7 linked regions of the Sus scrofa genome follow. The protein of the gene in region 2 binds, or shares a complex with, the protein of the main gene of each other region. Links are inferred from orthologs where the notes say so. Each region holds a gene or a part of one and is shown on either strand. Other genes may lie near its edges. The genes, in order: STRN, STRIP1, STRN4, STK26, STK25, STK24 and STRN3.

Region 1 (3,500 bases), on a different chromosome or scaffold from region 2:
ACTCATAAGCCAAAAATATTTATAAGAACCAAAACTACAGCTAAACCACTTTCTAGACAAAATACTTACCCAATCATTGCTGTCTCTTTAACTTCAGCCTCCGTGCCATTTATAACTGAGTCTTGATTTTTGTCATCTTCCCTGTCAGTGACATCACTGGAAAAGCCCAACAAAGCTCGCACTCGTTTGGATTTCACATCTAGAATGGTATCTGTGTAACCCACCTCCTGCAGGTACCTGTGTGTGAAGAGGATCTTTAAAATTCAGTCTTATTGGAATCAGTATTCTACTACTGAATATCTTAATTTAAAAAATTCATTGCCTGCATAAGACTAAACAGAACAGTACTATGCTAGTAAGACTTGCTAATAAATAATCTTCCAGCTGCAGACAGAGCTGTCTCTTGCAGTACCAGCCTCTACGGTCACTGAGAAAAATCAAAGAACTATACAATCAATACACCATTCATTTATCATAAGAAGAAGCTATTCCTTAATATACCTAATAACACATTCTTTCTTCTGGGCAGAGCTGGAGTAAACTCACTCTCAGATTCTGAATTACTATTTCATAATAGTAATTACTATAACCAGTAGTCCTTTTATACTTCCGATGTTAAAGTATCACTGGATCAACTGAGATCTGAGAATTTCTAACACACATAGTTTCCTCCATAACATACAAAACATATTCCAAAGAGTCACTTCTACAGAAGGGCAGCTTCTATCCTGAGACAATTCTAAAATAAAAATAGACCACAATTCAATAGTGGGATGTGGGCTGAGTGGGTGCACAGGGGTGTGTGTGCTGCAGAAAGGCAGCAGCACAGAAGACAGAGAATATAGAGAGTCAGACCAAGGTTTAAAGCCCATTTTTTTCCACTTTCCTCCTATGTAACTTTAATTCTTTCTCATAAAAGAGACAAACCTAGTACAGTGCCTGGCACATAGAAGGCACTCGGTATTAATTAACAATAAAGATGTCCAAAAAAGACCAAAAGGGGTAGTGGCGAGAATATGAAAAAGACAAATGTCACTAATAATGTCATTAATAAACATGATAGATAAATGTCAGGCATTAACTTATAAGTAAGCATCACATCTATGAGATGAAAAGGAAAACAAAGATCAAAAAAATAACCAGTCTAAGGGTCAGTTTATTCTAAGATCTGGTATTAACAGTTGTTATAGCTCAAAGAGATACCTCCCAAAGACATGTGACCAAAATGGAGTAAGTGTATCCTACCAAATGAAGGTACTCATTTTTCAATCCTATTCAATATCTATAAAGGCTTTGATTAAAATTTGGGTAATAAATTTTCTAATGTTCCTGAATTTAATTAGTTGGTTCTTTCAAAGTTATTACGCTTTTCTATTTTTTAACAAATAATATTTGATACACAACTCACTTTGGTAACAAAATCACATTACAGATTACTGTTTCAAAAACTGTTCTTTCCTAAGGTCTTACTAAATAATACTTCCTCATTCATTAATAAAATGTCACCTTTGAGAAGCAGGTTACCAATCTTTTAAAAATACTTCTTAGATTGCTCACTATGATAACTACTTGACATTAAAAAAAAAAAAAGATCAGCACTTTAAAGACACTTATTTATAAAAGGAAAATGCACAATCATATTTAAGACCAAAATTAAAACCTACTAGTTAAATAGTAATGAAGTCTCATTTTCTTCTAGCTTTGATTAGATAAAAAAACAGATGTAAGAAGTTATTTTAATATTCTTTTCCCATTATCAAAAGGTATGGCTGGCATACCATCCACTTTGGAAATCATAAGCTTAGACTATCCACAAACAACCCAAAAGTCCAAACCAGACAGCAAATTTCATTTTACTGAGGTACAAATCAAAATAACATTTTCAAATGTGCTACGCAAGGGTCAAGCATTAAGCAGATAAGTGGGTCTAGCCCACTTCCCAATATCCGTACCTCAGCCTAGCCTTGCTCCTACTTTATACCCTCAAATTCACGTTTTATAGGAGGGAGTATACGTTAGCACAGTATTTGTAAATCTGGGAAATCCAGAAGTTCTTCCATCTACTTAAAAGTTTAAAAACATAACACAAAAATTACATGTTTAGACTTATATTAAAACCTGTATATTTATGTATAAAAGGTACAAAGAGTAACTTTAAGGACAAAAAATTCTTTAAAATATAAATTTAAGCAAAAAATATAATTTAGAACCTTTAAGTTGTGTTCTTTTTGATAAAGTTAAAATTATGGAAAGTGAATTTCTTAACTCTTATTAAAATTTAATAATAAATTCTACTATAGTGGAAAAAGTGCTTATGAAAAAAGAACATAATTTAATGAAGCTTTTTCACAGCAGATACTTTCAGGACATACTTACTGTCTGAGTAGCTGTCGACCTTGCTTCCACATTAACTGACTGTTTTGTTGTGGTTGCACCTCTGTTTCATTACCTTCATCTGGAAAACATTAAATAATAAAACTGGTGTTAAACACACTAGAGGACATCTAAATTCATTTAAAAAAAAAAGGTCCAATAAAAATCTATAAGATTAAGAGTTCCCTGTTGGTGTAGTGGCTAAGGATTTGGTATTTTCACTGCTATGGTTCAGGTTCCATCCCAAACCCAGGAATTCCCACATGCCACAGGCAAGCCAACAACAAAAAAATTATAAGATTAAAAACACTGTACTGTAAGGTACATTTTAGGACAATGTAAACATGTTTTTAAGTTTAATTTCTGTAACAAAACTCTAACATAAATTCATTACTGCTCTAAAATAAAGACTTTTTTCCTATTTTTAGTAATCTGAGAATTTTCCTCCAGGACTAACTGAGTCACACAAGAGTCAAATAAATGTACTATGAAGCACTACATCAGAATTAGAACAAAATACCTAGGAATGATGGCTTTAAAAAAAAAAAAAAGCCAGTCTGGTAAAAGAGTAGATAAGAAATAACCCCAATCCAAATGAATTTCCTTCACTAGTTATTAAATGAAAACACCAAGCATTATTTTTTAAGACATTCTTTAAATGAAAACCTCCCAGGCCCTGTAAAGCTTAAATTTAAAACACTCGGGAGAAGCCAAATCCTTCAAAAATACGTAAAATAAAAAGAGAGTCTTCTTTCGGTAAGTCTGGACTTAAGAATTTCCATACTAGAGCATGCCTCGACTTTAAAAACATAAAAGAAGTTCACACTTTCCATCAGCCCATGATGGAAACTGTGGTCTTTATAGGGTTTTTATTCCAGTGGAAATATGAGAAACTGGGAAATTCTGTTTTATGATATTTTATATTAAATATTTAATGCATTCTAGATGCTGTGTTAAAAACACATAATTGGGAGTTCCCGTTGTGGCACAGCAGTGACAAACCCGAATAGTATCCATGAGGATGGGGGTTTGATCTCTGGCCTCCCTCAGTGGGTTAAGTATCCGGTGTTGCTGTGAGTTGTGGTGTCGGTCACAGACGCAGCTCAAATCCCACATTGCTGTGACTG
Region 2 (3,500 bases):
AGTAGGACGGCAGAAATGGCCTTAACAATGACCTCTTTGTGGCGGTTCACATCCACCCCCAGCTTCATGCTCTGCAACACTGTGGTACTGGAAGCACAGTTGTGGGTGAGCCCCCAAGCGCAGCACTGCCTCTCCTCTCCGGGTGCTCCCAGGAGAGACAGGATTCCCAAGCCTTCTCTGGGCCAGGCACCCACCTCACTGCTCCCCCACTGCGGACATCTGAGAGGTCGGGCCCTGTTCCTCCCACCCACTACCCAATCTAGCTCAGCACAATTTTCTTCCTTCTATGACGGCTCCCATACATTCGTAGTATATTTCTCTGCTTTTCCTCCAAAAATGAACTTCTCACTTCAAAACCTTCCCTAAGCTTCTGCCACCATAGGAACTTGTGTTCCTTGGAGCGTGTTCTGTGAATTGCCAGTGTACTGAGATGTTTCATATCATGGGAAAATGGGCTTTGGAATCAGAAAAGTTGTGGAAGCATTGAGCTAAATCAGCTTCTTAATTTAGGAGTTGCCACTGGAAATCTTTCTAAGAGGAGGTATAGCATCTGGCTCTGGAATCCTTTTCCTAAGGCCCATCCTGATGGCCTGGTGGTCTATGTAGTCCCTCTGGGGTTGGCCGATGCCTGCTCCCCCCCCCCCCATTATCTGGCTATCACCACCAGACCCAAGGGGCCCAGCCAGCAGGGAGCTGGGCTCAGAGCTAGGCGGTACTGGCAGGCAGGTGGATCAGGTCAAGGCCCAGGTCCTTCTCAAAGCAGAACGTGATCCCGGTTTGTACTCTCGTGTGAAAAAGATGGGGGCAATGCCCCAGGGAGGAAGAACTCCTAAGGATGTCACTATCACCCTGAGACATTCAAAAATATTCTGCATGCCAGGGCTTCCCTTGTGGTTCAGCAAGTTAGACCTAGTGTTACTGCAGTGGCCTGGGTCCCTGCTATGGCTTGGGTTCCATCCCTGGCCTGGGAACTTCCATGTGCTAAAACTATACATCCTGGATGTCCCACAATCACATACTTTTGAGAAACATTTGGGGAAATGTCAAACACAGCCCAATTCATTTTACAGAGGAGGAAGTGACTTTGCCCAATTCACTCAGTGTTCGCTCAGGGGCAGAGTCTACACTAGAATCCAGGCCAACTGGATTAAGCCATTTTCCCAAGCAGTATAATTAAATATTTCACCTAGAACATTTTCTTTCTTCTGAGCCAGGAATATCCTAAACCCAACCTGCAGAGAAGTTGAACCCAAACACTAACGACAGACAACCTAGCAAACAGTGGGACTGAAAGGAAGCCGTTTCCCCTTCCCCTCTGCCCTTCTGCCCCTGACCTGCTCCATCCCCCAGATACTCAAGGCTTGACACTCACGGCATCTCCTCAGGCAGGACATCTGCTAGGATGTTGATGGAGTCTGTCTTGGCCTTTGAGGTGGGAGCTGCAGCCAGCAGGATCTTTAGCAGCGCAATCTGGGGAGAAGCAGACCATTCAGACAGCATGGGTGGGAGGGCCCAGGGGCAGGACTAGGCCCGGAGAGGTGGTCCTTCCCGAGGCACTCGGGTGGCTGAAGGAGGGGCCAAGGGCATGGCCGCCTGCTCTCAGGGCCAGTGCAGTGGGGAGGGTGGCCCGTGGCAGGTGCCTACGGAGGAGGAGCACTCACCATGTACTGCGGCAGGCTGGGGAGCAAGCCTTGGTAGAGAGTTTCCGCGGGAACTTGCTCCACCTCCTCTTCTCCCTTCCAACACAAGGGGTACAGTGGGGACAAACCCAGAGCCTGGTTCTGAGGATGCTCTCCCGGGCCAGTGTGCTAGCTGGCTGGAGGAGACTGTACATGTGGATGATGGGAGTAAATGATGCTGCTGCTAATGATGGTGAACCTTTAAGACAACGTGCCAGGCACCTGACTTGTAAGAGGACATTTCATCATGACAATTCTATGAAAAAGGTGCTACTGTCATTCCATTTTAACAGGCAGGACAAGAAAGCAGAGAGAGATCTAGTACCTCGCTAGGTCGCCACCCATGGAGCCGGGATTCAGAAGGAGGGGGCTGGCCTGGAGTCCGTGCGCTAAGCCCTGTGCCTGACACACGGCACCCCTGCAGCGGGAGCTGGACAGGGAGCTTTCTGAGGGCAGGCCTGGTGCTCTGCGGTCTTGGCCCAGCACAGTGCTGGGAACGGCTGAACCCTGTGGGCTGAGGAGGGCCCCCAACTCACCCCTGAGAGAGGAGAGCGAAGGTACTCCTCCTCCATCTGTGCCTGGACCTCTGCAATCGACGTGTACTTGTGCTGGAGGGAGAGAGGGGAGGAGGCACTGGGGAAACACCCCCCATTCTCTGGCCAAACACCCACCCCTGGCAAAGACCCCACGCAACTTTCTTCAAACACCGTCTTCTCAAAGACTGTTAAGTCACCACACAGATCACAAACTAGGATCCCCAATCCAAAATATTTTTCCAGGAGTTCCCATTGTGGCTCAGTGGTTAACGAATCCGACTAGAAATGATGAGGTTGCGGGTTTGATTCCCGGCCTTGCTCAATGGGTTAAGGATCCGGCATTGCCGTGAGCTGTGGTGTAGGTTGCAGATGTGGCTCGGATCCCGAGTTGCTTTGTCTCTGGCATAGGCCAGTGGCTACAGCTCCAATTCGACCCCTAGCCTGGGAACCTCCATATGCCACAGGAAGCGGCCCTAGAAAAGGCAAAAAGACAAAAAACAAGCCAACAAACAAAAATATATTTTTCCAAGTGGGCACCTACCTCTTAACACCAGTGCAAAAAAGCACACAATAGATTCGGGAAAAACGCAAATTCAAGGAGAGAAGGGGGCTTTCAGATAGCTATCATGAAATTAAGGGGGAAAACTTACAAGCAGAATCAAGCACCCATGTACTCAAGGATCAAGTACTCAAGTCCTCAAAAAGCCTAGCTGCCTGCGGCGCACTTACACTACAAATGTCAAAAGTACACTGCAAAAGCCTATCAGCATTCGCACCCCAGACATGCTGTCAGAGGAGACAGCTCTTTCCCACCTGTGATGCTTCTGCATTCCTGGAGGGACCCGCACGTACAAAACCCTCAGGTCTCCCTGTCTGCACCCCCACCACACATGCACACACTCACTCCTCCCCTCGCTGCCCAGTGGGTATGGGAGGAGGAACAAGACAGTCTCAGCACAACCTCTTTCTCTTCTTTCTTAAGAAAAGAAAAGCCTGTGCCCTCTTCTGCTCCTTGACCAGGCTTAGCAGGGTGCCAGCGCTGCGGGCCCTGGACAGGTGAACTGGCCTAATTCTGGAAGGGAGGTATCGGACACCCACTGGGGTTGTGCTCTTAGGCCTCATTCTCCACTCACTCTATTGGCAACAGAGCTGGTGTTTCAATCCCCATCCGCCTACTCCTTGAACCCAATTGCCTTGGAACCTGGGCCAGGAAAGGGAGGCTATTTACTAGACCCCTTAAAATTCCAACTGTCAGGTACTATAATCTTTAATAAAACACCAGTAA
Region 3 (3,500 bases), on a different chromosome or scaffold from region 2:
CGTGATTTCACAACCCCATGAATAGTTATCATTATTATAATTTCTTTCGTCTTTTTGAGGCCACACCCATGGCATATGGAGGTTCCCAGGCTAGGAGGAGAATCAGAGATACAGCTGCCGGCCTACACCACAGCCAGAGCAACACAGGATCCTTAATCTACCGAGTGAGGCCAGGGACTGAACCGGCATCCTCATGGGTACTAGTCAGATTTGTTACCCTGAGCCACATCGGGAACTCCCATTATGGTAATCACTGGTCCCATATTACAGATGAGGAAACGGAGGCTGAACAGAGTGCAGCCCTTGCCCCAGGTCGCAAGGTCCAAGCCATTTCTTTTAAGACGGCTCTTGGGTGTGTGATTACCTGAGGTTCTTCGCATCTTCCTTATAACTTTCTAAATGGGCTAAATTTTATACACATATATATATATATAAAACACGCAGGAGCTACTTTTAGAACTAGAGAAAACACCTTCGTTCCTCTTTTTTTTTTTGTCTTTTCAGGGCCGCACCCGTGCCATATGGACATTCCCAGGCTAGGGTCGAATCAGAGCTATAGCCGCCGGCCTACACCACAGCCACAGCAACTCGGGATCCGTGCCGCATCTGTGACCTACACCACAGCTCACGGCAACGCCAGATCCTTAACCCAATGAGCAAGGCCAGGGACCGAACCCGCAACCTCATGGTTTCTAGTCAGATTTGTTAACCACTGCGCCACGACGGGAACTCCTCGTTCCTCCATTCTGAGAACCAGAATGCTGGTGGGTTTGCCCGTTTCACACAGTCGGTCTTAACCAGGGGTAAGAGCTAAATCATCCTGTTTTCCTCACTTCACGAGCCTGGCCCCCCACCCAGACTTATGAATTTAGGAGCAGCACGGCTCCTGCGCTCCCCACACAGACACCTCGGGTACACGGCCTCGTGAAATGATGCTCTGCGTGTGATTCTCCACCCTCGGGTGGCTTCAGCATCACTCCACTGCACAAAGCGCCATCCGGAGCTGCACACTTGGCACTTCGAAGACTGCACTTGTGCACTTACATGCCTTAAGGGAGTTCCAGAATTTTCAAAGACAGTTTTGATATCTGAGTTCTGCTCTAAGTGCTGGCTTAAGACATAGAGCACCTCGGCACCAGGATTCTGAGGCCTCCGGGCCGGCTCCTCCAGGAAGCCTTCTCCCTCCTGGTGTTCCCTGCCTGGGCCCAGCCTCCATCAGATGGTGGGTTCCTCTAGGGTGGGCTGACCCTCACCCCGAGCTGGGTCTAGAGGGTATGAACATGGAGGCAGCCCGCTCGGGCATCCTGAAGGGCCAGCCCCGCACAGGACTGCCTTCCTCTGCCTTTCTGGGAGAAGACCTGGGGTCAAGGTCCAGACAGCACGCCCAGGGAAGCAACGGTGGGGGTTGGAGCTCTACATGCGGGTGGAACCACACCGGGCGCTCTGAAGGGCCTGCCCACACCACAGGAGCTGTCGGTGGCACCCCACTGCTGAGCCCTGGTGTGGCAGCTTCCGTGCAGCCAAGGGCTTTCTATGCATGCACTCATTTTAGTTAATTCCTTGACAGCCCAGGGACTATGAGCCCCTGAGACGGAAACTGAGACAAAGAGAATCGTGTGCCCAAAGGTACATAGCCAGGCCGGCGGGCACTCTGGGAGCCACAGGCAGGTCATGAGGCCCTGGGGAAGCAGGAGACCCCCGACAGGGCCCGTGGGACAAGACGCCGTGACTGAGGCAAAGGCCTGAGGGAGAACGCAGTCATTTTCAACGGGAGGAGCCGAGAGGAGGAAAGACTGCGCAGCGGAGGTTGCGGTGAGACCCGACAAGCGGGTGAAATCCCAACAGGGGGTTGGGGGGGGGCAGGGTGCTGGACCAGGGAGTTGAGAGACCCCCGCTTTTCCTATAACCCCCAGTTCCAGAGTCTGGCTCCACACAGTCCTGTCCCCTCAGTGTGTTCACTGAGCGCCTAATCTGCATGGGACCCTGTGCTGAGCCACACTGGGGACACTGGACACAGAGCAAAGGCTGGGAAGGACAGACCGATGAGGGAGGAGGGAGACAGAGCTGGCATGAGACGGGGGCGCCTGCCTGTGTGGGCCACTGGCCACAAGCCCCTCCACCTCAGGACCAGACCAAGTCTCCATATTCGTGCCGCCGGCACAGAGCTCGGCCATGAAGCTGCTGGTCACTGGACAGACGAGGCCAGACCCTGCCCAAGAACGGCGCCATCAGAATGGTGGGAGCTGGGTGGCTTTCCGAGCCCAGGAGTGGGGCTGAAGGGTGGAGGCAGCCATATCTCAAGGCCATGCTGAGGAGCACCCAACTCTACCCTGTGGGCAGTATCCCCAGACCTGGGTCTTGACAGCGACAGCAGACTGGACGACGAAGTCCTGGACAGGACCCCCCCCCCCCGCCCGCCTCCAGGCTGAGCCCTGGGCCCGGCCACGTTCCCTCAGGGAGCTGGGGAGAAGAGCAGAGGGTCGCACAGTCCCTGCCTCGTGGAGCTCAGCACCCACTGCGGGAGACAGAGCCAGAGTCACACCCAAAATGTCTAAGCACGGCTGCGGTAGGGCTGGCCCAAAGTGGGGAGCACTGTGAGAGGGCGTGGCGGGGGCTGGCCCAGCCTGGAGGGCGAGAAGGGGGTGCAGCGGAAGAAGGGGCCAGCTCCAAGAGAAAAGACCCAGGCGGCCCCAAAGGTCACGGAGGCCACAGCACAGGGGACTCTGCTCCAGGCAGGGATATGATGAAACCACAGAGGCAGCCTGAGGGCGCCCACAGAGGTGCTCTGCTCTGGGGCTCGAAGCAGGGGTCCTCTTGCAGAAAGGGGGAGGGAGGGCCCACTGGGCTCACGAGCTCACCTTCACCCGCTGCTTCTTGTGCTGCACGCTGTCCAGCTCGTCGTCCTCGTCACTGTCCTCATCCTCGCAGTTCTGCAGGAAGGGGATCTGCTCCAGCACTGAGCCACCCAGGCGCTCTTTGCCATCTTTGCCGGCTGCGTTCCTGCCCAGGATGGGGGGCAGAGGAAGTGTTAGTCCTGCCCAGTGACAAAGCTGTTCAGGTGGGAGAGCGCCGGGACTCGGGTCGTGCCCTGGGCCTCAAGCCCAGCCTCTGAACCCTCGCTGGGACCACAGACCGGGCCCAGCTCCTCATTGAGCTCCGAGCCCCGAGTTCTAGGGAACTAGCCCCCAGCCCGCCCACAGGGCCCCACACGTGCTGAGTGAGGAGAGCTGGATGGGAAAGTGGCCCCGATTCCCACAGCCCAGTCAAACCGTGAGCCCAGGGCAGGCGAGGGGCAGGGACACAGCCAGCAGGAAGAAAGGGGAAGTGGTCACTCCACGAACCCCCAGCCCTTCCAGCCCGCTCCCCTCTCCACCTCTGGGACACTGTTCAAAGGCTCCAACGGGATGACAAGTTTTAGCAAAGGAGGTATTTGCCGAACCTGACTCCAGGGCAGACAGGAGGGCAGAGTTCAAAGTTGAGATATGTGCAAACATTGTCCT
Region 4 (4,007 bases), on a different chromosome or scaffold from region 2:
TTCATAAGTCTCTAAAATAAACTGTTAAAAAGTTATAGGCCGGTCGACCACTTCGCCCTGATCTGTGGAAATACTATACATTAATTTCAAGCACACATGGCTACGTTCAGTTTTCTTACTACTGGAACGGTCTGAAAGTTGCTCCTAACTTGCTAACAAAACTCCAGGAGAATTTTACAAGCTCATCATATATTTCTGCATCTCATCTGCAATCTTTTTCAACAAAAGAATAGTCAACGTGATCAAGGCTCAAGAGTCACACTGCATGCCATCAAATTTATTTTTAGGGTACTCCACAATTTTAACTGTGGAAAACTTTTTGGGTTGCACCCAATGCTTAAGAACCACATCTACAAAGAAAATGGAAATCAGATGTTACGAATTTACCATTTCATTAAGACAGGGAAAGTGACAAATAAATATTCCTCTCTTTTCCTGCTAATATCCAGATGCCTGCCCTCCCCAAATCAGGGTGGACACAGGAGTCACAACGTGGGGCAAGGCATCAAGTGACAGGCAGAATTCGTAATTTAAAAATATGTGATTCACATTCTAAACCACCTTAATTAAGGGTGCAAAATTCAGCTGATAGGGACCTCAAGATAATGAAACAAAGCAGGGAGCCGAAAGAAATACTGAGCAGCAAGCAGTTCCTAAACCATATAAATCAAATGAGGACAAATCAAATAAGGACCAGAAACCATAGAAATCAAATAAAGTCAAGACAAATGAAATAAAGACCAGAAACCGTTTTCTCCCCCGCACACCAGAGTTCCCCAGGATCACAAACTTGATCAAAGGGAGGCCCTCGCTCTGCTGACGCAGGCAGCGCGTGCACACAATGGCCTGAGCAGGCACGGGGACCCTCAGGGACAAACCTGACATCCGTAAAGTTCACAGAATGGAAAGGAGAGCATGGTGGGAAAACGTTCGAACTTTCTCCCACATGAGACAGAGCAAAACTGTAGTTAGTCCTGCAAACTACTAATTCTCTGGGTACAATCAAAGGCAGACTGAATGAATGGGGTGAGGGGCTGGGGGTGGGGGGGGAGAGGGAGGGAAGGGGGGGTGGCCTGAGAAGAAGGAAGTTTGAGGCGTTTGGTAAAACTTGAATGGATTAACCTTTTCAAAGGCCCCAATAGTTCTCATTTCCCTTCTTCTTCCTCTCTCTCTCTCTTATTTATTTTTTGTTTTTATTAAATACACACCGACTTCCTGGGACTCAACCCAGACGTGCCCTATATTCAGCTAAAAGGCCTGGTGCCTAGACACACAGGAGTCCCAGGCTAGATCTATGTCCGACACAAATGGTCCTTTGGGGGGGGGAGAGAAAGTATTTTAAAAAGCACTTTTTGGACCATGCATAAAATGCGACCAATTGTTTTTTTTTTTTTTAAAAAGATACATTCCTTGCATCAATTGGTAATTTGAGGCCCCAATCCACAGCACTTTGATTTCTACTAGAACCATAAGCTATTTACCAAACATTCTTTTCTGAACTTGGAAAAAGGTTGTCCTCACATTTTTAGAAGATAATGAGGCTGTCGATGCTAGTCTCCGACCGATTCATAAACGGGTTGTTTATGAAAAAAAAGAAAATTCGAATGCGTAAAAGTAAGCTTGGATTACATTTAGCAGAGAGCTTGAAATGCACCGATTTAAAAAGATAAAATAGCGTGAAAAGCGTACGGACATCGCTGACTTCTTTAATAAAGTGAAAATATAAGGGGAGGCTGGGTAGCTCTCGAGTGAAAAGTTGGGTCCCCTGCCCTGTCTAGGACAAAAAGTTTCCTTTAACCACACTGTAACAGTCGTGCTGTGGGAACCGCAGAGGGAGGGAGCGGGGGAGTCATCACCTCCGCTCTGCTAACAGAGGACCCTGCATTTCTCACGCCACACGAGGGGCTGGGCCAGGTGGGGGGAGCGAGATACAACTTAAGCAGCAGCACCAAAAGGGGAAAAGAAGTCACCTCTCTTCGCCCTACGCACACAGGAAGAGCCTAATTCAAAGCCGCCACCACCGACACCCCTGGTCTTGCTCCGCCCCAACTCGTGTGTTTGTGTGTGTGTGTATGTCCGGGGGGGGGGGGCAGCACGACCTGCGTTTTATGCCCAAATTCCGAGACGCCTCCATCTCTCCCACGTGAAGTCCTCCCACCTCCGACCCCCAAGCGCATCACGCTCAGCCAGCGCAGGTGTCCGGCTCCGGCCTATTTTTATAGCCCCCCGCCGCATCCCCACCTCGCCGCGCGCCCCGGTCCCTCCGCGCGCGCCTGCCCCGCGCAGTGCACCACCTAGCTTGCGCGCCGGGAAACACTTAGACCCTCTTTCCCCGTCACCTGGCCGGAGCGACCGGCCCGGCTTCGAGGCAGCCCTGGGCCGCCTGTCCTCGCCGGTGCCCAGCGTGGAGTGCACCCTGGGCTCCCGGGCAGTCACGTGGACGGCGGGGGAGGCCCGGGCGTCCTCACCTGCATCCCCGGCACTTGGACCGCCACCGGTGAGTGGGCCATGAAGGCGAAAGCTGCTCCGCGCGGCTTCGGCGGCGGTGGCGCCTTGGGCTCCGACTGGCTCCTCCTCCGGGGGTAGGTCGGCGGCCCTCCCAGGCTTTTCGACCCGGGCCTGGAAGGACACACACAAGTGGGGTTACGGGGCGGGTAGCGCGCGCGGCCCGGGGCTGGGAGGTGGGCGGTCCGCGGCGCGGCTCCCCGGGACTCAGTCTACCTTTCTGGTGCCCGCCCGCCGCTGTGGCCGCCGCCTCCGCTGCCGCTCCTCTTCCTGAACGCCGGGCGCCGTGTGTGGCGGTGGCCGGGACCTGGGCTCGAGTGATGCCGCTCGTCTGCGCCTCGCCGCTTTAGGAAGAGGAGGTGGAGGCGCCCCAGCCACCCGCTCGCTGGCCGGGCCCGGGAGGCGGTTGGGGGCGGTTCCGCCGCTGGCCCTGCCCCCGCCCCGCTGCCGGGCGGTGTCAGGAGAGCTAGGGCTCCGCGCTGGGAAGGGGCTCGGCTGGGGTTGCTGGAGCCTGAGCCGAGGGAGACTCTCCCGGCCGGCGGAGAGGAGAAGCCGGGCACGGAGGGGCCTGGAACATTGGTCGGCCTGGAGAGAGAAAGGAAGAGTTCGGGTGACCCTTGGGGTACGAGGGCGTCCCGGACGCGGCCACGTTGCAGGCGGGCGTGCGAGGGCTGGGGCGCACGCCGCCTCGGAGAAGTCCTGAGTTGAAACTTGGCGAGTGTTGGAAGTCCTTCCGGACTCTCCGATCTGCTCGAGGCCGGGGGGTGCAGAGAGCCGCCGAGTCGCTGGACCCCAGCTCTTAACCCGAGGTCTGGGCTCCCCAGTTTGGGGCCGCGCCTCTGGGCGGGTCGGTAGCCACCCTCCGGCTTTCCGGGTTCCCCGCCCCCAGACAAGCTTCAGGTGACTTAGAAGTGAGGCTTCCCCTACCTTTTGGGCTCTCGGTTGGACAGGGGTGCGAGGCTGTGGGAGAGGGCGACCAGGCCTGGGCACAAGGTCAGTTCTGCACGTGTAAGAGAGAGGGAAATTGGAAAACAGGTGGTACATGGGCAGAGAAATGAATGAGGGTAATAGAGGCATGTGAAACGAGTTTGGGTCCTTAGCAGTACGTAGTATTATTGAACTCAGTGCTTTTGGCAGCCCCCTGCCTCCATCCCACTTGACGTGCCAGTCCAGCAGGGAGACAAGCTCTTTTGCGAATACCCGAGCAACAACAACAATAATAATAATAGCAATTAAGTAACCTCATTATGAAGGCACCTTTGGGAACCCACAAGGGGTTGTCATATGTAATATCTAAGTGTCAGTTTAAAATGAGGATGAAATTTTGTGCCCAACACAGTGTTGGGGCTCTGGGAGGCAATACGTATTTCTCTTGTTCCTTTTGAATCTTTCTCCAAAGATAGCGTATTATCGTTATCACTATAGTTATTGTGAGTGGGTGCCATTTTCTTTGTGCCAGGGACCGCTAAGTGCTATATAGGTGTTACTTCACTGAATCTTTA
Region 5 (4,082 bases), on a different chromosome or scaffold from region 2:
CCCCAACGGCTTGACGAGAGGCACACCCAGCTGGGTGCCCAGACCTCCACGGCTCCTGAGGGAACTGGGCAGACCCCTGGACCAGGGGCTCCAGACTCAGCAGTGGGGGGAGCTCTGGTCCCAACGTCACACTTTTTGGGTCCCCACTGCTGTGGGTCAGTCTCCTGAGCAGACAGCATGACGGGAGCGCTCCTGGCTGTGACCCTGACCCTACAGGCACATCACAGGGACACCTGCGGCCAGAGCTGGTGGAAGGAAGGAAGGACAACTGCTCCCGAGCTGGCCTTGCACTCCCCTTCCAGAGACGGGCGTGGTTCAGACAAGGGCTCAGGCTGCTGGCAGTCCAGACCCTTGTCCTCTGGTCAGCCCTGGGCATGCGAGGTCAGTGGCCACTACCAGGCAGTATGTCTGCTGGTCATATCGCCCCACAAAATGAGGGGTGCCCAACGGCCCCCAACCACCCCACGATGGGTGGCAGCCAATGAGCTTCCTGCAGCCAGCCAGACCCTGCGGGCAGGGTAGGAACAAGGAACCAGCCGGGCAGAGGCCAGGAGTGGAGGGCCCCCTGCGGGCCGTGGGGGAGCTCACCGCACTGCCCCACACAGGGACCGCCTCGCAGGGCCACAGTGACAACCCTCGCAAGAGAAAACAATGTCCTGTCAGGCTTCCTGCCACTGACAAAGGCCAAGTCTCTCCGCCCCAGAGGACAAAAGGGGCTTCCTTCCTTCAGGGTCCCTTCCTCAGCTCCTCTGGGCTGTGCTCCCTTCCCTGGGCATCTGGTCTGGACACCCAAGCCAAGCCCCTAGTGCCACCAGCACACAGGGACAGGGTGGCTCAGCTCCAACTTCCTATTCCAGGACCCGCGGGACCCATTTCTACAGCTCTTAAAAATAGCTGAAGCCAGGTTTTTCTCCCAGCTTCTCCGTCATGTAATTTACAAGACACGAGATGTCAAAGATGAATGAAAGACCTGCCAGCGGGCTTCAGCATCAGCAGAAGTGCCAGTGCCCACCTGTGGCACGGCTAGTCCAGGATGCCCTGCCCGGCGGCAGCACGTGGCAGGTTTCTGCGAGGAAGCCTGTTGGGTGTGGAGCCGATCCTGACCCCAGCCCCTCCCCCGCCCCGTGGATACACACTTCCTGCTCCCCTGGCGCCCAGGCCTCGCGGACTCAGCCTGGGGACTCAGCCTTACACCCGAGGACGCTGCCTTACACCTTTCAGCAGGCGGCCGAGGAAAACAAAGCCAAGCAGTGGCCACAGGAAAACCTGGCTACCAGAGCCAGAGCGGCACACTCCACGTCCTACCAGCTGCAGATCACACCTGCTTCCCAATAACAGACAAGAGGAAAGTACAAACCATGTGCCACACAACCCAGGGTGCGCTTTGGAGGGTCCCCCGGAATCAGCCAGTTACCGCTCAAGGCCAGACACCCCCAGATGGCTTTTGCTGTTGGCAATCCCAAGACCCAGTCCCCCAAAGAGAAAGGCAGTGGGTGTCTTCCCAAGGAGCACCTGTGGCCCGGGAGCAGCCCTCTCATCCTCTCCTGTGCTCTGCTCTCCCCGCGCACAGACTCGAGAGCTGCGTCAGCACAGCCCCTGCCCAGCACAACACGGCCTGTGTCCCCGCCCAGGCTGCGGCCCCAGCGTGGACCCTGACCTTGCAGGTCTCTCCAGGTGCAGATTCATGCTCGGCAGGATTCCCACCAGAGCCAGCGGCCCCTGCCCTGTTCCCACCACAGGGCTCTGCACAGCCTCTGCTGCCCCTGCACTGGGGCTCTATTTTGCCAAGCTTGTGGGCTTCTGCCCCACACAACTGGGCAAGCTGGCCAAGCTGAGTCGCCCCTGCGCTCACCAAGTCTGAGCGCCTCGAGACTGCTCCCCGCTTCGCCCACGACGCGCTCCGCAGGACTCCCCCGCGCCTCCCTTCACCCCACGCTCGCCCTCGGAGGGACCGCTCCTCTGAAACCTCAGGATGACAGTCCTGGAGGAAGCGCCCTTGCTTAGCCTCTGCAGTCGGTGCTCCGGTAAACACACACACCCCTCTCCCCGGATGCCAACCCTTACCTGGTTGGCAAAGCCCCTGAGGTGAGCCATGTCTGCGCCGCCCTCCACCATCCGCTGCAACCTCGGGAGGCCCCGAGATCCTGCCTGGAGGCTCCGGAGCCCGGCCCACTCGCTTCAGGCAACTGGAGGGAGAGCAGGCCTGCTCGGTTCGAGGCACGCGGGGCTCCCTGCCGCCCTGGGGACCGGCGGGCCGGCCCGCCCCGGGGGCGGGCTGGAGTCACAGGGCCCCTCCGCTAAAGGCCCCCACCGCCGCGCTCTCCTCATCGCCCCGCTACGGCCCGACGCCTCCCTGAGGAGCTCCCCAACACGGGGCATCCCTCGGCGGCCCTCACACTTCCACCCGCAGCCTTGCTCCTTCTTTAGACCCCTTACCCCGGCCAGGACCCCCGCCGGGACCCCCGCCCCAACCCCGCCCCCGGTGCCCTCGCCCCCCCCCGGCGCCCCCCCCCGGGTCCCCCTACCGCCGAGCTCCGCCTCCAGTGCCCTCCTCGCCGGCCCCCTCGGGGCCCTCCCCCTGCCTCACTCCCCGCACCGCCCAGCCCCCTCCCCAACCGCCCCAGGCGCGGGCCAGCCCGGCAGCGCGCCCACCTCCGGGGGCTCCATCCCGGCCTCCCCCGGCCCGCTCCGCAGTGCCCACGAAGGCTCCCACCCGCAGCCTCCGCTCGCCCAGGGACGCCTGGGCCCTCCAGCCCGCGAAGCAGCGGCAGTGGCGGCGGCGGCCGGAGAAAGCCCGGCGGCGGCGTCAGCGACGGCCCGGGCGGCACGGTGTCGTGGCCCGGCGCGGAGCTCTCTGGGACACCGAGTCCCTCGTTCGCCCTGGGTCGGGGCGCACGCAGACCCTGGACTACAAGTCCCGGCAGGCCATGGGGCGGAGTGGTGTAGCGGCCCGCAAGCGTGCCGCGGTGCCCGCTGGGACTCCGAGTCCGGCTTCCTGAGAAGCTTGGGCCTACGTCTCCCGCCAGGCCGCGGTGCTGGGCGGGGCCTGTGGGGCTGGGGCGGGGCCAGGCGGGGCCCGCCCGGCGGCCGTGGGGTTGGGGCGCCCCCACCTTTCAGCTCTGCGGTCGCCCCCCCCCCCCGCCCCGCCTTCCGTCCTCCGGCTCCCCTTCCGAGGGCCTGGGCTCAAGACTCCAATTCTATCTTTCAGGCCTCTTGCAGCCGCCCGCGTGTCGGGGAGGAACGAATGGGTCCCCAGATGCGGTCCAGACGTGCCCGGGGGTAGGAGGGCAGTGCTGACTCGGGCCATTGCAGGGACCAACCGCCAAGACGGTGGCTAAACGAAATAAGCTAGTCCCAAAAGGACAAGCAGTGCTTGGACCCACCTGTGTGAGGTGCCTGGAGTCCTGAAGACAGAAAGGCGACAGGCGGGTGCCAGGGGCAGGGGCGGGCGCTGGGAAGTGAGTGTTTAATGGGGACAGAGCTTCAGTTTGGGAAGGTGAAAAGAATTCTGGAGATAATTGTACAGCACTGCCCAACTGAATGCTTTAAGGTGTAAGCTATCACAATTCAAAATACGTAAAATTAAAAAGGCATTGTTTTTTGTTATATGCCACAACGTGGATGAAAACGTTATGCCAAGGGAAATAAGCCAGTCGCAAAGAGACAAATACCGTGTGATGCGGCTTCGATGACCTCTCAAGACTGGATCAGTTCAGGAGGCAGAGGTGCTTGAGATTTCCTGGGGCTGGAGGAAGAGAGAAGGGATACACCACAGGGTACAGGGTTTCCATCGGGAGTGGAGACCAAGCTCTGCGATGGCCCCACAACGCTGTGAACGTGCTTGACGTCAGTGACCTGTACACTTAAAATAGTCTCCGTGTGTGCTCTGTGTGATTTACATTTTACCAAAACATTTACAAGGATGCAGCTGTAAAGCAATGATAAATTTGATTTCATCGAATGTTTTAAATTTCGATTTCAGAAAGGCATTGTTAAGAGAATGAAAGGACAGTTCCCTCCTCGGGCGTTAAGGAGCCGGTGTCATCACTGCTGTGGTTCTGGTTACAGCTGTGGTGTGGGTT
Region 6 (3,500 bases), on a different chromosome or scaffold from region 2:
AAAATAGAATGTGTACATGTATGTGTAACTGGGTCACCTTGCTGTACAGTAGGAAATTGACAAAACACTGCAAACCAACTATAATGGAAAAAAAAAAATCAGTATATTAAAAAAAAAATCTGGTTCTCGAAAACTAACACCTGTGTTCTAGGATGAGAGAGCCAGAAGCTAACGCGTCTCAGAAGCTCTTCCTCCTGAATCGAAACTCTTCCCTGGACCATTCGGGGCACTTTCAAAAAAAAAACAAAACAAAACAAACAAACAAAAAAACCCATGAAATTCTCATTTTAAGAAACTGTGGTAAAATACACACAAAACTTACCCTGCATGACCTTTAGTGTATTCACGGTGTGCATTCATCGCTCCCATCTAGGTCTAGAACTTTCCATCACCCAAAAGGAATCCAACTAGGAACCATGACGTTGTGGGTTCGATCCCTGGCCTTGCTCAGTGGGTTAAGGGATCCGGCATTGCCGTGAGCTGTGGTGTTAGGTCGCAGACCTGGCTTGGATCCCAAGTTGCTGTGGCTCTGGCGTAGGCTGGTGGCAATAGCTCTGATTAGACCCCTAGCCTGGGAACCTCCATATGCTGTGGGTGCAGCCTTAAAAAGCACCAAAAAAAAAAGAAAGAAAATTCAGATTTAAAAATTTCTGGTGCCGGGTAGCCTCAGAAAACAGCTCTTGGACTTTCTCCATTTAACCACCCGTTAGTTACCACGCTAGGGCGGAGCCCGGCTGCCCTGTGCCCTCCCCAGCAGATGCTGCAAGGGGCCCTGCTTCTGCTCTCCGGGCTAGCGGCCCCCCCCCCCACCCCGCCCCAGCTCTGCTCACAGACACATCGGGCTGACCACGGCCTGTCTCACCAGCCCGGCTTGGACGCTCAGTCGGCTTTGCTTCTTTCATCAAAGTCATTTTCTCTGGTTCTCTGGGGATTTTTTTTAGGGTCTTTTAAATAGATTTTAATTGTTTGGGCAAAATGTTTTGGAGTGCAAGAGCTTTCAGATTTTGATTATTGTTGTCCATTTAACATTGACTTTGTTCTATTCTCTCAGACTTTTCTTCTAATCATTTAAGTAACCTGAATCCTTTTTTTTCTTGTCAGTTAGAACCTGGCCCTTTAGATGAAACTCAGATTGCTACCATATTAAGAGAAATACTGAAAGGACTTGATTATTTGCATTCAGAGAAGAAAATCCACAGAGACATTAAAGGTAAAAGAACACAGCTTGTTTGTGTCCCTTTGAAATGCCGAAGGCGAAGGTGGGTGGGAATGGTCGTCTTACCTGCGCTGCTCTCTCAAGGGTTGTCGTCCTGAGGGCGGTCTGCGATTGCGAGGGGAGGGGGCGCCCCGCGGGGGTCTAACTGAAAGCAGTTCTTGTCCAGCAGTGGTGTCGCTGTGCACACGCTCCCCCCGTGCTGGAGATGGAACTTCCGGCACATGATGTCAGGGGGCGTCTTTGGCTTTATTTTTGCAGCTGCCAATGTCCTGCTGTCTGAACACGGGGAGGTGAAGCTGGCCGACTTTGGCGTGGCAGGCCAGCTGACCGACACCCAGATAAAGAGAAACACCTTCGTGGGCACCCCTTTCTGGATGGCGCCCGAAGTCATCAAGCAGTCAGCCTACGACTCAAAGGTGAGGACGAGAGTTCCCTTGTGGCTCAGTGGGTTAAGAACCTGACATAGTGTCTGTAAGAATGCAGGTTTGCTTCCTGGCCTCAACTCGGTGGGTTAAGCATCCGGCATTGCTGCAAGCTGTGGTGTAGATCGCAGATGCGGCTCGGATCCCGTGTTGCTATGGCTGTGGCACAGGCCGGCAGTTGCAGCTCTGATTCGACCCCTAACCCGGGAACTCCCATGGGCCACGGGTGTGTGTGTGGCTGTTAAAAAAAAGAAGAAGAAATGTGCGGTCAGGAGCCTCAGCTGGCTGGGTCTGGGAGTGGTCCTCTGGACTTGAACTTCAGGGCTTGTCCTGGTGGGGGAAGCCAGGGCCTTGTCGTAGGTCACGAGGGCAGTTCGTGGGCTACGGTTAGAAACAGGGTTCTTCTGTCTGCTGCCGTCTCCGGCACCCCTTTATGCAACCAGCCCCCCGTTCCAGTGTCTGAAGGAGGGACACGGAGGAGCAGCGGGTGGAGGCCGGGGGACGGGGTGGCCCGGCCGGTGGGGGTGTCCAGCAGAGGCATGTGGGGGCGCGGGGAGGCCAGGAGGAGGGGATGGGGCAGAGGGCCTCAGCAGGACCCTGGCCAGGCACAGGCAGGGTCCCTCGGGAGAGGCGGCGTCCACAGAACACCAGGCAGACCCTTCCTGTCGGCCAGTGTAGCGCCCAGTTGGGATCGTCATTCTCAGAGGCTCTGTGCCGACTTGAGGCCAAATCGTGATTCTTTTCCCAGCCTCTTCCTCCTGTCGTGTTGTACGCTCCCATTTCTCCTGTGTTCTTGCCTCCGTTGCCTGTCAGCGTTCTTAAGCTTTTTGGTATAAACTTGAAAAGCCCGCGAACCCGCCTCCCGCAGGCCGCTCTCGGCGCGGGACGGCGGGAGGATCCCCACGGCCCCAGAGAACAGGCTTCTCCAAACCAGGGCTTGTAAGCAAACCTCTGACTCGGTGTGCTGACAGCCGAGCATCATTTCTGCTCTCGAAGAGGAAATCTCCTTACCTGGCAGGTTCCCACCTTGTTAAATGTAGCATGCGGAGCACAGGTAGGTTTTCCTGGGCACCCGAGGTCGGCGTGTGAGCTGATGGCGCTGGTGGCCTGGCCCCCTCATGTTGAGGTGTGGGGACAGCAGCGTGTCTGGCCTGGGCCTGCCTTGCCCCGTGGGGTGGCTCTCCCCGTAGCTACTTCCAATTGTGGCAGCCACGGGCCCCTCCTTCCCTGGGGTTGTGTCATTTTAGGGTGTGACAGGGGCTCATGTGTTTGGTCCACTCTGTTTTAAGCTGAGGCCCATGTGTCTGAGTTCCGGCATCTGGATTTTGGCTGGGCTGTGACGGGACCCCAGGAGTCGTCCCTCATCTGATGGCAGCCGCACTGAGGCCGCTCCTCCATTCTGGTCACTTAGCTGATCCGCCACCGCCGCTGCAGCGCAGCACTCAGATGCTGGGTTTTCAGCGACACTCATCCCTTGCTCAGGAACGGTCCCCGAGGCCTCCCCAGCCCCGCTGGGGCCTCTCCGGGTGTCCGCCCAAGGCGGCCTCTGAGCAGCAGAGCCTCCTCTGCACCTTCCCCAGCTGTGGTCAGGACCACATGCGCTCCCGTGTGGCGGGTAACGGTGCCTCCTCTGCACCTTCCCCCGCTGTGGTCCGGACCACAGCGCTCCCGTGTGGCGGGTAACGGTGCGGCCTTCCTTTTAGGTCGATGGCAAGACGCGTCTCAAACGGGGCAGGGTGCAGCTCGGGTGGGCAGCTTGAGGAAACGCATCATGTTGCTTGTTCACCCTCAAGTCCATTACCTTGAACTCTGGCTCACGGCAAAAGCTAGTGATTCACTGGCTTGGGTCAGACACAGCAGCT
Region 7 (3,500 bases), on a different chromosome or scaffold from region 2:
ATGTGGTATTGCTGCAAGCTGTGGTGTAGGTGGAAGATGAGGCTGCTGGGATCCTGCGTTACTATGGCTGTGGCATAGGCCGGCAGCTACACCTTTGATTGGACCCCTAGCTTGGGTACCTCCATATGCTGTGGGTGCAGCCCTAATAAATAAATTAAAAAAAATTATTTCAAGAAGCAGCTTTTAATGATGAAAATTACATACCTTTTATTAGACAGCATAAAAGATTTCATCGAGCAATTTAAGATTACTATTATCATATCAGATTCCCCTTTATGGAAATCTTAGATTTCCAGAGTCCAGACTGAAATTTACAACATCCTTTTCATATTTTTCTTTAACTAATCCTCCGTTTTATGGACACTAGTGACCAAGGAAACCTGTAGCTCATATATCAAATTCTTCCTTTCTCCTTCAATTTTATCAAATCTAAAGAAAGAACACAGCTTAAAAACGGATTCTACTCATGTTAGTGGCAACACTGTATATCTTAAATCTTTACTAAAAACAGTCTGAAAGGTTGTAATGCCTAAGTTTCTCTCCTTGAGAACATAAGTTTTTTTCTTTATAAAATGCACTATGACAAGGCCTTCAACAGGAATGCATAAAAGTTGGAGGTGACCACTAAAAATAAGAGATTATGAATGCTAATGTTCTCTTCTTAGCACTAATCAAAGTTGAAATTAATCTTTTTTTAGTAACAAATTATTTAAGATTTAGCCTTTGAAAAGTGTGATAGTGCATATGCTTTCCTTCCTCCTCCACTATTAATAGATCACTGACTTAATTTTTTTTGTTTAAAAAGCACAATTACACATAAACATACATACAGGTTCTAAATGTACCACAAGTCTTGTCTGGCTGTTTCCAGAAGTCCCTGCTTTGAAGCATTTAAACTTATCTGTAATCCCTGATAATATGGCTTTGAATTGGGCTGCAAAATCTGCAGTTTAAATGTACAGTGTTAACTATAAAAAATTTTAGCAACTTTTTTCTATGTATTATTTGGTAAAGTAGAGCAAAAGCTTTAAAAAGCTTAGCCATTACTAAATGCATGAAATGAAAAATAATCAGGTTGGTATATTCATTTTAGAAAATACTTCCTTAAGTAAAATAGGAAAATAGCTTAACAGTGGAAAAGAGGTCTAGGAAAAACCAACAGACTATTTTACTTTTCCTGTTGCTTTTCATGCTTTAATATGTTTTGTTTTGGTTTTATTATTTTAGCGATTTTCTTTATCCTTCCTCAAACCTAGAGGATTATAGTAAGTGGCAAGGGCATGCAGAGATTACTACAAAGAAAAAAAAAAGCAAAATTATTTAACTTTAAGGAAAAATATGCAGGTAGAGAACTCTTAGAAGAGCATATAAGGTGTATTCAAAGAGTTCTGACAGGACATCAAATTACCCAAAGCAAAAGCAGTAATATCAATGAAATGCAAATTATATGCCAAATTATTAATGAATTATCTTTTACATTTGTATCATATATCAAAATAAACTTTTGGTAACAATTCAGTCTCATTACTTAGAATTTTAATTATCTAGACCTAGAATTATATACTATTCAAGTATATCTACATATCTTCAGCTAAAATCAATTTTGGAAAAAATGCCTAAGTAGTACTTTCATTTTCTGCACATTTCTAGTTTAAGCAAATTTTAGAAAATTCACTAACGAGTAGTATATACTAGTACCAAGTTTAAGAATTATATGTTGCCTTATTCTAAAATATTAGATTAGGCAATTGTTACATGTATTTTCAGAAATAATATATAAAGTTCTAAGCACAATGTCTGGTACTTAGCTGTCTCCTTATAAGTGACAGTTATTATTAGTTGTTAAAATTTAGCAATATGACAAAATGACTAAATAGTTCTTTTCCATATGTACCCAAGTCTTCTTAAACTATTTTCCTGCTACTACATATGTAAACTAAAGTCCCAGTTCAGAAAGGTACTCTGAAATGACCTGTAATAGAAATAAGTCCACCTAATATCAAAACAAGAAAATTATAAAGACATATAAGCCAAAAATTTCAAAATCCCTAAGACAATTACACCAAGAGCTTGCCCAACACCTTCTCTGAAGATCATAAAAGCTGATTTTCAGCATTTTAAAACAGCAGCAAATACAATATTTAAGGAGATGTGATTTGGAATTAATGTCTTCTACAATGTAAATAAACACAGTAGCTAAATTCTGTACCTTCCTCTGCTCTTGCACCTTCATGATCAGTCATTCTAGTAGAGGCTGACCTAGACTGATTTATGATTCCTGAAGGGATGTGGGGCAGCTCATCATCTCCCAGATCAGCTATCATGTCGTAGAGTTTTGTCCTGTTGACCCCTGTAAATTAATGTCAGCAGTAGAGATTCATTTAACGGCTACCGCTTGACTTGCTAGCAGCCTTTAAAACCAATCTACTAACAAAAGAGGCCATTTTTAAGAAGTTTCAGTTGTAAAAATCTCAGAAAATCAAAGATGTCTTCAATTTTCCACACCACCCCCCAAAAAAATATTGAAAAGATTTAAATATTTAAGATATTGACTATTTTTGTGGAGATATATATAATAGAGTCATCTGTCACTCAAAGTTCTGTAAGCTCAAAGATACAGATGGTACCATTCAAACAAAAAACTTTGGTGTTTAACATTTAACAGTGTAAAGACTAAAATGAGTTTTCCCAACTTAATTATTTTTAAAAAGTTAACAAACAAGCACAAATGATTTTTATGAGGGTGCAACAAACAATTAACTTTCCCTGGTGTTTATGTGGATGTTTTCCTGCCACATTCATACAACTCTGTCATGAACAAATCACTCAATTCCCCTCAACATGCTTTTTTCATTTTTTACAAATTTAAAAACTGATTTACCTATGAGCTTGCTCATTTTCTCACTATAGTATGAAAAGTCAACACTGTCACAGGCCATAATTACTGGGAGAATTTCTGCTGTTACCTAGATTAATTTAGGCCAAAATATGGCCAACTCTGTAGCATCCACAGTACTGTGGGATCTCTTGTTTTAACTATGAATTTCAGAAGTGACAGGATCTTGTTTCAACTATGAACTTCAGAAGTGACAGGAGAATCATTTCTCTTGTGTGTTTCGAAAGAAAACAGTTTTAAGGTGAAAAGACAAAAGAAAATGCTTTGAAGTCTATGTAAAGTAAAAACAATTAAAACAGGCAAATCCAAGGCCACACATTATGACCATATTTACTAATGTCTATATTAATGGACTAGACTATGTAATGACTAAACTTCACTATGGCTATTAGAATATTAGAAATTCTATAGAGACTATCACTCATCTGTGCATCCCTAACAGAATACCAAGTAGCAAGATTGTTGGACTATACGGAAATAGGTGGGACCTTACACATTTACTAACTCTATTTCATAGTAATCCCTAACTTCTTGGAAAGGCTTAAGCACTCCACTTCTGGATGCAACATGTCAAGTAGTCTGAATTTTCTAAAACAATTATAAT

The links.
Region 1: STRIP1 (region 2) and STRN share a complex: the UniProt entries of both Homo sapiens proteins name them as parts of the core of STRIPAK complex. The link is inferred for Sus scrofa from reciprocal best matches to the Homo sapiens genes STRIP1 and STRN.
Region 3: STRIP1 (region 2) and STRN4 share a complex: the UniProt entries of both Homo sapiens proteins name them as parts of the core of STRIPAK complex. The link is inferred for Sus scrofa from reciprocal best matches to the Homo sapiens genes STRIP1 and STRN4.
Region 4: STRIP1 (region 2) and STK26 share a complex: the UniProt entries of both Homo sapiens proteins name them as parts of the core of STRIPAK complex. The link is inferred for Sus scrofa from reciprocal best matches to the Homo sapiens genes STRIP1 and STK26.
Region 5: STRIP1 (region 2) and STK25 share a complex: the UniProt entries of both Homo sapiens proteins name them as parts of the core of STRIPAK complex. The link is inferred for Sus scrofa from reciprocal best matches to the Homo sapiens genes STRIP1 and STK25.
Region 6: STRIP1 (region 2) and STK24 share a complex: the UniProt entries of both Homo sapiens proteins name them as parts of the core of STRIPAK complex. The link is inferred for Sus scrofa from reciprocal best matches to the Homo sapiens genes STRIP1 and STK24.
Region 7: the proteins of STRIP1 (region 2) and STRN3 are in contact, whole or in part, in a cryo-EM structure (PDB 7K36), measured with the Homo sapiens proteins. The link is inferred for Sus scrofa from reciprocal best matches to the Homo sapiens genes STRIP1 and STRN3. Residues at the interface, in NP_149079.2 of Homo sapiens: Arg441, Ile445, Tyr447, Leu449, Thr455, Val456, Val457, Gly458, Leu459, Arg491, Ser492, Pro493, Leu494, Ser495, Phe792, Leu793, Pro794, Val795, Asn797, Cys798, Leu799, Val802; in NP_001077362.1 of Homo sapiens: Thr64, Pro66, Gly67, Leu69, His70, Tyr71, Gln73, His74, Val88, Glu89, Ala91, Glu92, Ala95, Arg96, Phe99, Leu100, Glu103, Gly106, Gln107, Leu110, Asp113, Leu114.

The regions. Positions count from the first base shown.
Region 1 is NC_010445.4:103,301,826-103,305,325, reverse strand, and holds part of STRN (striatin), read right to left. Parts: intron 2,456-3,500; coding exon 2,377-2,455; intron 238-2,376; coding exon 70-237; intron 1-69. UniProt on the Homo sapiens protein: Calmodulin-binding scaffolding protein which is the center of the striatin-interacting phosphatase and kinase (STRIPAK) complexes.
Region 2 is NC_010446.5:110,067,518-110,071,017, forward strand, and holds part of STRIP1 (striatin-interacting protein 1), read right to left. Parts: intron 2,288-3,500; coding exon 2,216-2,287; intron 1,737-2,215; coding exon 1,662-1,736; intron 1,471-1,661; coding exon 1,373-1,470; intron 88-1,372; coding exon 1-87. UniProt on the Homo sapiens protein: Plays a role in the regulation of cell morphology and cytoskeletal organization. Required in the cortical actin filament dynamics and cell shape. Part of the striatin-interacting phosphatase and kinase (STRIPAK) complexes.
Region 3 is NC_010448.4:52,610,911-52,614,410, forward strand, and holds part of STRN4 (striatin-4), read right to left. Parts: intron 3,001-3,500; coding exon 2,859-3,000; intron 1-2,858. UniProt on the Homo sapiens protein: Calmodulin-binding scaffolding protein which is the center of the striatin-interacting phosphatase and kinase (STRIPAK) complexes.
Region 4 is NC_010461.5:108,178,023-108,182,029, reverse strand, and holds the start of STK26 (serine/threonine-protein kinase 26), read right to left. Parts: upstream 2,801-4,007; 5' UTR 2,722-2,800; intron 2,620-2,721; 5' UTR 2,511-2,619; coding exon 2,469-2,510; intron 1-2,468. UniProt on the Homo sapiens protein: Serine/threonine-protein kinase that acts as a mediator of cell growth. Modulates apoptosis. In association with STK24 negatively regulates Golgi reorientation in polarized cell migration upon RHO activation.
Region 5 is NC_010457.5:140,151,511-140,155,592, forward strand, and holds the start of STK25 (serine/threonine-protein kinase 25), read right to left. Parts: upstream 2,801-4,082; 5' UTR 2,714-2,800; exon of another isoform or gene 2,653-2,713; intron 2,187-2,652; 5' UTR 2,116-2,186; coding exon of another isoform or gene 2,065-2,115; 5' UTR 1-2,064. UniProt on the Homo sapiens protein: Oxidant stress-activated serine/threonine kinase that may play a role in the response to environmental stress.
Region 6 is NC_010453.5:67,475,143-67,478,642, reverse strand, and holds part of STK24 (serine/threonine-protein kinase 24), read left to right. Parts: intron 1-1,101; coding exon 1,102-1,210; intron 1,211-1,474; coding exon 1,475-1,632; intron 1,633-3,500. UniProt on the Homo sapiens protein: Serine/threonine-protein kinase that acts on both serine and threonine residues and promotes apoptosis in response to stress stimuli and caspase activation.
Region 7 is NC_010449.5:68,550,897-68,554,396, reverse strand, and holds part of STRN3 (striatin-3), read right to left. Parts: intron 2,351-3,500; coding exon 2,210-2,350; intron 1-2,209. UniProt on the Homo sapiens protein: Calmodulin-binding scaffolding protein which is the center of the striatin-interacting phosphatase and kinase (STRIPAK) complexes.